Saccharomyces cerevisiae S288C: one gene and its partner. The protein of the gene in region 1 interacts with the protein of each later gene in a biochemical or structural test. Each region holds a gene or a part of one and is shown in the gene's direction. Other genes may lie near its edges.

Region 1 (4,248 bases):
GCAGGTCGTCGTGGTTTAGATGATCGTGGTATTGTTATTATGATGATTGATGAAAAAATGGAACCTCAAGTTGCTAAAGGAATGGTTAAGGGCCAAGCAGATAGGCTAGACTCGGCTTTTCACTTAGGATATAATATGATTTTGAACTTAATGAGAGTTGAAGGTATCTCTCCGGAGTTTATGTTGGAGCATTCTTTCTTCCAATTTCAAAACGTTATTTCAGTACCAGTTATGGAAAAGAAACTTGCTGAACTGAAAAAAGACTTTGATGGCATCGAAGTCGAAGATGAAGAAAATGTTAAAGAATACCATGAGATTGAGCAGGCTATCAAAGGTTACCGTGAAGATGTTCGTCAAGTTGTCACCCATCCGGCAAACGCCTTAAGTTTCCTACAACCAGGCAGATTAGTTGAAATCTCTGTCAATGGTAAGGATAACTATGGCTGGGGTGCTGTTGTCGATTTTGCTAAAAGAATTAACAAACGCAACCCAAGTGCTGTCTATACAGACCATGAATCCTATATTGTCAATGTGGTCGTCAATACCATGTATATAGACTCTCCAGTCAACTTGTTGAAACCTTTCAACCCTACCTTACCAGAAGGGATTCGCCCAGCGGAAGAAGGTGAAAAAAGCATATGTGCTGTTATTCCCATAACTTTGGATTCAATCAAGTCGATTGGTAATTTGAGACTATATATGCCCAAAGATATTAGAGCCAGCGGTCAAAAAGAAACTGTTGGGAAGTCTTTAAGGGAGGTTAATCGGAGGTTCCCGGATGGTATTCCCGTGCTGGATCCTGTTAAAAACATGAAGATCGAAGATGAGGACTTTTTAAAGCTAATGAAGAAGATTGACGTTTTAAACACAAAGTTATCCTCCAATCCCTTAACCAATTCCATGAGACTAGAAGAACTATATGGTAAATATAGTAGAAAACACGATTTACATGAAGATATGAAACAATTGAAACGCAAAATTTCAGAATCACAAGCCGTAATCCAACTGGACGATCTTCGTCGCCGTAAAAGAGTTTTGCGCCGTTTAGGATTTTGTACTCCTAATGACATTATTGAACTGAAAGGTAGAGTTGCATGTGAAATATCTAGTGGTGATGAACTGTTACTAACAGAATTGATCTTCAATGGTAATTTCAATGAGTTGAAACCGGAACAAGCAGCAGCATTATTATCATGCTTTGCATTCCAAGAACGCTGTAAAGAAGCGCCTAGATTGAAACCAGAGCTTGCCGAACCTTTGAAGGCTATGAGAGAAATTGCAGCAAAGATCGCTAAGATAATGAAGGATTCTAAAATTGAAGTTGTAGAAAAGGACTACGTTGAAAGCTTCAGACATGAACTAATGGAAGTTGTTTACGAATGGTGTAGAGGAGCTACTTTTACGCAAATCTGTAAAATGACCGACGTTTACGAAGGTTCGTTGATCAGAATGTTCAAGAGATTAGAGGAATTGGTGAAGGAGCTGGTAGACGTCGCCAATACCATTGGTAACTCTTCACTTAAGGAGAAGATGGAAGCTGTCTTGAAATTAATTCATAGAGATATCGTATCTGCTGGTTCTTTGTATTTATAGTTAATCACACACAATTATGTATTTTTATTGGTATATATAATAAACAAATAGATTTCATCAACATTTATTATATAATAACATTTTTGTTTGGGCAAGCACACTATTGATACACCCATACAACTCAATGAAGTGCAGCGTTAGTAGAGACAATAAGAGGAGTTTTAAATTCTTAAACTATATCTGGCAAAACACCACCAAAGCCAGCCAAATAGTATCTCACTGTATCTGAATGAAAGTAGATTTACCAGAATCCAGACTACCATCTTTATATAGAGATTTTAGGCCATTGAAAGATTTAAATCCCGATGGGTACGAAGCAAACATCAGTACATGGAGGGATTTCTTCTTGCAACAATACATCAGCAACTCCAACAGAATCATATTTACTATAGGGACAAGGACTTTGCAAGAATTAACTCATGAAGTTTATGGCGTACCGAAAAGCATTGATATAGCAATTGACGTTCTTGTTAATGAAGGAAATTTGATACCTATGGAATTATTCAATCTTGGTGGAATGTACACTGACAACAGTAGAAAAGGATTTTGGAAGTGGGTTAGAAGTTGGAAGGAGTCTACAAACATGTATAAAAGCCGGAAGGATGAAACAAATTTCTACTTGAGAGAAGACAAATTTATTATCAAAGCAAATTTGGAAAAAGAGTATCAAAGGTTTCATGAATTACTCAAAAGAAGTGTTTTTATGGAGGCTTCATCTATTACAGATTTAGTATTCACAAGGAATGAATTTGTGACCACAGAAAGTTTGCAGTCGTTCTTTTCAACCTATGATGAAGAAACGAAAAACGTGTTCCTGCACTTTATAGAGAATTATAAGCACATAATAGTTTCAAAAGACAATGTTATCAAAGTCATTGCCGCTGAAGTAGAAGACATTACTAGCAGGTTCTCCAAAGGCATCACAGAAAATGACCTTCGAATTGCTAGTGTTAAAGTGGGTATTATAAACATCAACAAACAAATTACAAGGCTAAGAAAAGAAATTAATGAATCTAACATTAAACTGAGAGGACCAGAGTTTAATGAGCTGCCGAAGAGAATAAGGATTGAATATAAACAGGCGAGATTACTATCTGAAAAACATCTTTCTAGGTTACTAAAGTTTCAAAATAACCTCGCTCAAGTAAGAACTCAAATAGACACCAGTGCTACTAATGCGGTTTTAATTCAAACTTTAAGTGAATCCAACGAAGTAATTAAGTCAATTAATGGATATATTGGTTCTACCGAAAAAGTAGAAGACTTACTAGATGAGATTAAAGAGGGTCATGACCGTACCGAAGAGGTCAATGATTTATTAGCTCATTATAATAAAGGTCAAGACGAAGAAGCAGAAGAAGAAATTGAAAGAGAATTAGAACAATTAGAACTTGATGAAAAGAATAATAATAAGGAAGAAAATAAGAACCAGGATTTGCACGAGCCAAAAGAAAGCAGTAGCGAGGATCTATTAAAGAGATTGAATAATCTGAAGATAAATACAAATGAAGGACCTGTGCAAGATAATGAAAACCACGATAATGAGATAAGAAAAATCATGATGGAAGAACAACCACGTTGACGAACTGAGTGACTAATAAATAAATATATATGTATAAATAAAAAATAAATATGAATATTTTAATAGACGGAAGAAAGAAAATATGTGTGAATAACCAAATAGGAAATAAACAAAAGCACATTTAATTGTTGCCGTTATTATTAGAGTAACCTAATGTACGAACTTTGGTATTAGATGCAGAATTATTGGAAGACAAGTTTAGTTCAGACACGTTTTGTCGCAATTGAGAAGTACCATTAGAAGGATACATCCTTGGGGTAGTATATGCTGAAGGAGTCATTGAATCACCACCACCTCCTCCTCCCCCGTCCGACACCATGTCTAAGCTAGATAATTTTTGTAAAGAGTAGTTGGCGCTGTTTGACACATTTGTGCCCAACCTCTGGTAACCAAGACGGGAGGAGGAAGCATCTACTTCCGGTTCTTTCGCCCAAAAAGATGTCAAACCTGAGTAAACCTTGTGTAGAAGAGAAGATTGTTCCATGTAGTCGAATGTTTTGTTATTGGCTTCCAGCGGTTCTAAGATGAGAGTCGATCTGGGCAACAGATCCAACTCTTGCAAACTTTTGAGTTCGTCATTTCGCGTAAGAGTCACTCTTGGTATATTTCTGTGGAAAAGGTAAGGTGTTCCATCATCGTAGCAATTATAGTCTAACCACATCCTTACTTTGTGTAATTTTGTTTGAGGAGGGAAAGTATTAGAGATTGTGTAACCATTGGGCAGTTTCAATTGTAGAGTACAGTAGTTCTGGGCGAGAAACCCCTTTTGACTCTTGTAACTAACATTATCAGTAACTGTCAACTGCTTCCACTTCTGTGGCTTTCTTTGCGGGTCATTAGTATTTTGAAAAACATACTTCCTCTCCAACTTGTCGTTCTGAATCATTCTTTTGACTCTTTGATATTCTTCATTGCTCTTGGAAAATAACTTCCTCTTTGTTACTTGACCCTTAAAGACTGATTGTAACCCATTGATAAAGGTTTCCCAAGGATCCTGCTCACGAGAAAGGCTATTACCTTGGATAGAACATTCGAGTAGACCGTTCTGTAATATGTTAATGCTTGGCGCCGAT
Region 2 (4,403 bases), on another chromosome or scaffold:
GAGACTAAATATTCGATCAACACACGACTCACAGATCCTGTGATAGCATTCAGGATTCACCAAAAATTTCACATCCGGAGAAAGGTATCGATCTGTCTTACAGATCGGACACATGTCCTTGTTTTCCTCATACTCATCCATAAGCATTTTTCTTTCACTTATATTTACTTGTGTGCGGGGGCCCACTAATGCTGCAAATCCTAAGAGGAAACAAACTCAAATTTTAACAAGCAGTTCAGTTTCTTAGCTGATGATGAGTGCTGTCTTGTGCGTCTGTTCTGTTGTATACTCTCTTTAGTATTAGTGCTTAAGAACAAATTTACGAGCGAACGGCCCGATTTGGACCATTTAGTCGATTTTTTTTTCCACTATTTACGTTTTAAATAATAGTAGCATAAACACAGCACTCAAACAAAACAACTAATTAGGCGTATATCTGCCCGTTGTAATATTTTCAGAACCTAGCTAAGGTCCTTTCATCGCGACACGGCAGAAATTAAACCGTTGTATATGAATGGCTCTATCATGGAATATTCGAATCAGGCGCAGGTCATGGTTTAGATTCATCTTACCGATTATCGTGCTCGGTTTACTGTGCTACGGTACGTGGGCTTACTGCCATAAACTATGTTACGAGCAAGTCGACAAACGACTTCGTCAGAAATCAGTTTCGGTTGGTCTTATTTGTGCGGTATGCTTCCTAGACGTAGTCGTGATTTTCATATGGCTTCAAATAGTTATCTTGGTCGGTCCAGGTACCCAACCGCACGTAGCACCTTTTTTGATCCTTCCTATAGCCTCTGAAGAGAAGACTAGCAACACTTCTCAAAACACTTCAGTGGAATACGATGCTGTGGTTCCGCCTAAGTGTTATCAGTCTGATCCTCACGGATACCCAATATGGTGCAGTGAATGTCAAAGTCTGAAAATGGAACGAACGCATCATTCTTCAGAACTAGGCCACTGCATTCCTCGCTTTGATCATTACTGCATGTGGATAGGGACTGTTATTGGTAGAGACAATTATAGACTCTTTGTGCAGTTTGCTGCTTATTTTTCAACACTTTTACTTATCATGTGGGTGTCTATTTGCGTTTACATAAGAATTATTACTCAACACAATCATAATTATAGCCCCAATTTAAACGCAAATATAATTTCAACGTTAGTGTTTGCCATCCTTGGATGGTTATTAACCGCAAGTTTGTTGGCATCGAGTATTTTTTACATGAGTCAAAACAAGACGTCTTTGGAGGCTATCATAGATAGCAAAAGGAAAAAATTTGGAACAAGGAAGATATTTTGTTATTACTCGGAAGCAAACAAGTTGAGGTTTGTGGTAGAGTTCGATAGATCTGAATTTCACTCTTTCTGGGACAAAAAGTCAATCTTAGCTAATATAAAAGACTTTATGGGTTCTAACATACTTATGTGGATAATTCCTTTAGGCAAGCCCTATACATCTCGATGCAAATCTGATGGCAAAAGCGGTTCAAAAACAACGCTAGTGGAAATATTGGGTCCCTATGAAGAAACTCTTAGTGACTACACCATTCAGGCCATTGAGGACAAGATATCAAGAGGAGAATATCTGGCCACATTGCGGGCTTCTGGTGACGATAGTGATCCTGCTTACTAAATAGTATTAAATTTTTCAAGCAATTTATATTCTGGGACGAAACTCATGTTACAATCGGTATATGTTTCTATTATCTATTCATTTTAATATATTCTGTATGCGTAGGGGAAGGGATAGTATATACATTTTCTTGATCGTCCTTCCATAAATAGTAAGAGATAAGTTTGAAAAAAATAAAAAAGAAGAGAGATTTTAACAGCAAAGAAACGGTAGGATGAACTTTAACGGACATAATAGTAGAAAAGGAAGTTTCCTATCTTCACTAATCGACAATGGATCACAGAAACCTTGATCCGAAAACGCTGAAGGTCAGCCAATTGAGAAGAGTTTTGGTAGAAAATGATGTTGCGTTCCCTGCCAACGCTAGGAAGCCTGTCTTGGTGAAATTGTTTGAGGAGAAAGTGAGGCAACGTCTCCAATCTTCACCTGAGGCCTCAAAGGTTAGAACTAGCATTCAAAAGGTTGTGAAGTCTGGGGCAAAAAACGCAGATCGCAAAAAGACATTAAAGAGTAAAAAGCTTGAATCAAGTTCTAGTGAGAGTAAAACTGTCAAAGATGAAAATGTTGAAACTAACAAGAGGAAAAGGGAACAAATTAGTACGGATAATGAAGCGAAGATGCAAATACAGGAAGAGAAGTCTCCTAAAAAGAAAAGAAAGAAAAGATCTAGTAAGGCCAATAAACCACCAGAGTCTCCTCCACAATCTAAGTCAGATGGGAAAGCAACTTCTGCTGATTTAACTTCTGAACTGGAAACTGTAGAAGAACTTCATAAGAAAGATTCTTCGGATGACAAACCAAGGGTAAAAGAGCTTCCAAAACCAGAATTGCCGAATTTAAAAGTATCAAACGAATTTTTAGCTCAACTAAATAAAGAGTTAGCTAGTGCAGCTACGGAGAATTATGATCATTCTATAAAATCCACGGACTTATCGTCTATCAGAATCGAAACAGAAGAGCCTGTTGGTCCTTCAACTGGAGCAGAAACAAGAAATGAAAGTGAGGTGATGGAGAATATCAATTTGGAAGTCCAACCTGAGGTGAAGGAAGCAAAAGAAGAACTAACAAAAATATCAGAAACTTTTGATAATCAAGACGAAGAGGATACTAGTAGGTTATCGTCGAAAAAAAATATACGAAGTCCAAAAGGTCGCACCAGGCACTTCATTGCCAACAAAACTAAAAGAGGGATAGATATTATGAAACCGTTTATTGCACATCTCTTCATTTGGTTATGGAATGGTGCTATTTTCCTTTCAATAATATGTCCTATTCTTTTTGGTCTTTGGTATCGAGAACAGAGAATTCAAGTAGGATATTGCGGTCATGAAAAGCCCCTGAAATCTCTTGCAATCTCAGCTTTCCCTCAGACTGAAAGGGTAGATTCAGTGTTGCAAGCTTATCGACCAAATTGTCTCGAATGTCCTGAGCATGGAATATGTTCTTCTTTTATGAATGTTGAGTGTGAACCAGGCTATGAGCCTAAAAGTTCTATTTTAGAAACGTATGGTATTATTCCTTTTCCAAAATATTGTGCCAAAGATGAAAGTAAAGAAAAGGAGGTTGATGAACTGGTTTGGAAAGTAAATGAATATCTTAAAAAGAAGAATGCACAACATGAATGTGGTGAAGGAGAGAATCTCTTTGAGAGTGGTGAAACGGAAACCAAATTATATGATATATTCTCTCATTCTAGACCGTCATGGGAAAGTCAAAGGGAATTCAATGATCATTGGAAAAATGTGCTTGAAATATTAAAGAAAAAAGATGATATTATCTGGCTGCCATTAGATTTTGAAACTAATGGAAAAAGAGAGAAATCTAAATCTAATAACACTAACTATATTTATCGTTCAACTTCAAAAAAATGGGTTACGTTGCAATGTCATTTAGAAGGGGATATACAGGAGTATATAACGAAATATGGTGGTTCTTTATTTATCACCCTAGGCGTCCTTTTCCTTATCAAAAAAATACAATCGACACTTGACAATTACGTTCAAGGAGAGCAGATAATTGAGAAATTGGTAAAAGAGGCAATTGATAAATTGAAAGATGTAAAGAAGAACAAAGGTGAAGAACCTTTTCTGACAACAGTTCAACTAAGAGCTACTTTATTGAGCGACATACCAAATATAAAAGAACAGAATAATCTATGGGCTCAAACGAAAGAAAAAATCATGAAAGAGCAATCAGAGAATATAGAATTATATCTTCTTGAAGAAAATGGAGAGATCATGACATGTTGGGAATGGAAAGAATGATCGTATTTCCGTCTTCAAACCACTTTTTGTTACTTTTCTTTGTTTTGTTTTCGTATTTGAGTTTCTAATGTGATAAGTGACTTTTAATTTTGTAATTTGTTTTCACGGATATTTTTCTTAGGTAAGTGTATTCTATTAATCTTTATGTAAAATATTATAACCATTCGCTGTTTCAATATGGTTTTATAAGTGGAGTTTGTACTTTTTTTACATATCATTTACTGTATCTTACATCATACCTTTTTGAGAAACTTTGGAAGATATTGCTTGTCATAAAAAAAAAGGGCGAAATGCACATGAAATCTGTATTATGTTTCGTTAAGATTAAACGCATTTTTACAAATTAAAAAATCCTTCTGTTCCTCTTCCTTGGGCAAGTGTTGTATGGTTAAAGGTTTAAATAAAAGACGTTCTAAAATACTTGGTTACATGGCGCTATAAATTTACACGAAAAATGATCAGGCAAGACCAAACCCTTCATGCCCTTCATTGATTGCCAA

What was found.
Region 2: the proteins of CHM7 (region 1) and HEH2 form a complex in vitro, tested with the Saccharomyces cerevisiae proteins (one study listed by BioGRID).

What each region holds. Positions count from the first base shown.
Region 1 is NC_001142.9:344,151-348,398, forward strand, and holds CHM7 (phosphatidic acid-binding protein CHM7), read left to right. Parts: upstream 1-1,822; coding exon 1,823-3,175; downstream 3,176-4,248. Other genes in the region: ATP-dependent RNA helicase MTR4, read left to right, coding at 1-1,593; UBX6 (Ubx6p), read right to left, coding at 3,297-4,248.
Region 2 is NC_001136.10:1,379,555-1,383,957, reverse strand, and holds HEH2 (Heh2p), read left to right. Parts: upstream 1-1,911; coding exon 1,912-3,903; downstream 3,904-4,403. Other genes in the region: TFIIH/NER complex subunit TFB3, read right to left, coding at 1-147; palmitoyltransferase PFA5, read left to right, coding at 515-1,639; E3 ubiquitin-protein ligase TOM1, read right to left, coding at 4,362-4,403.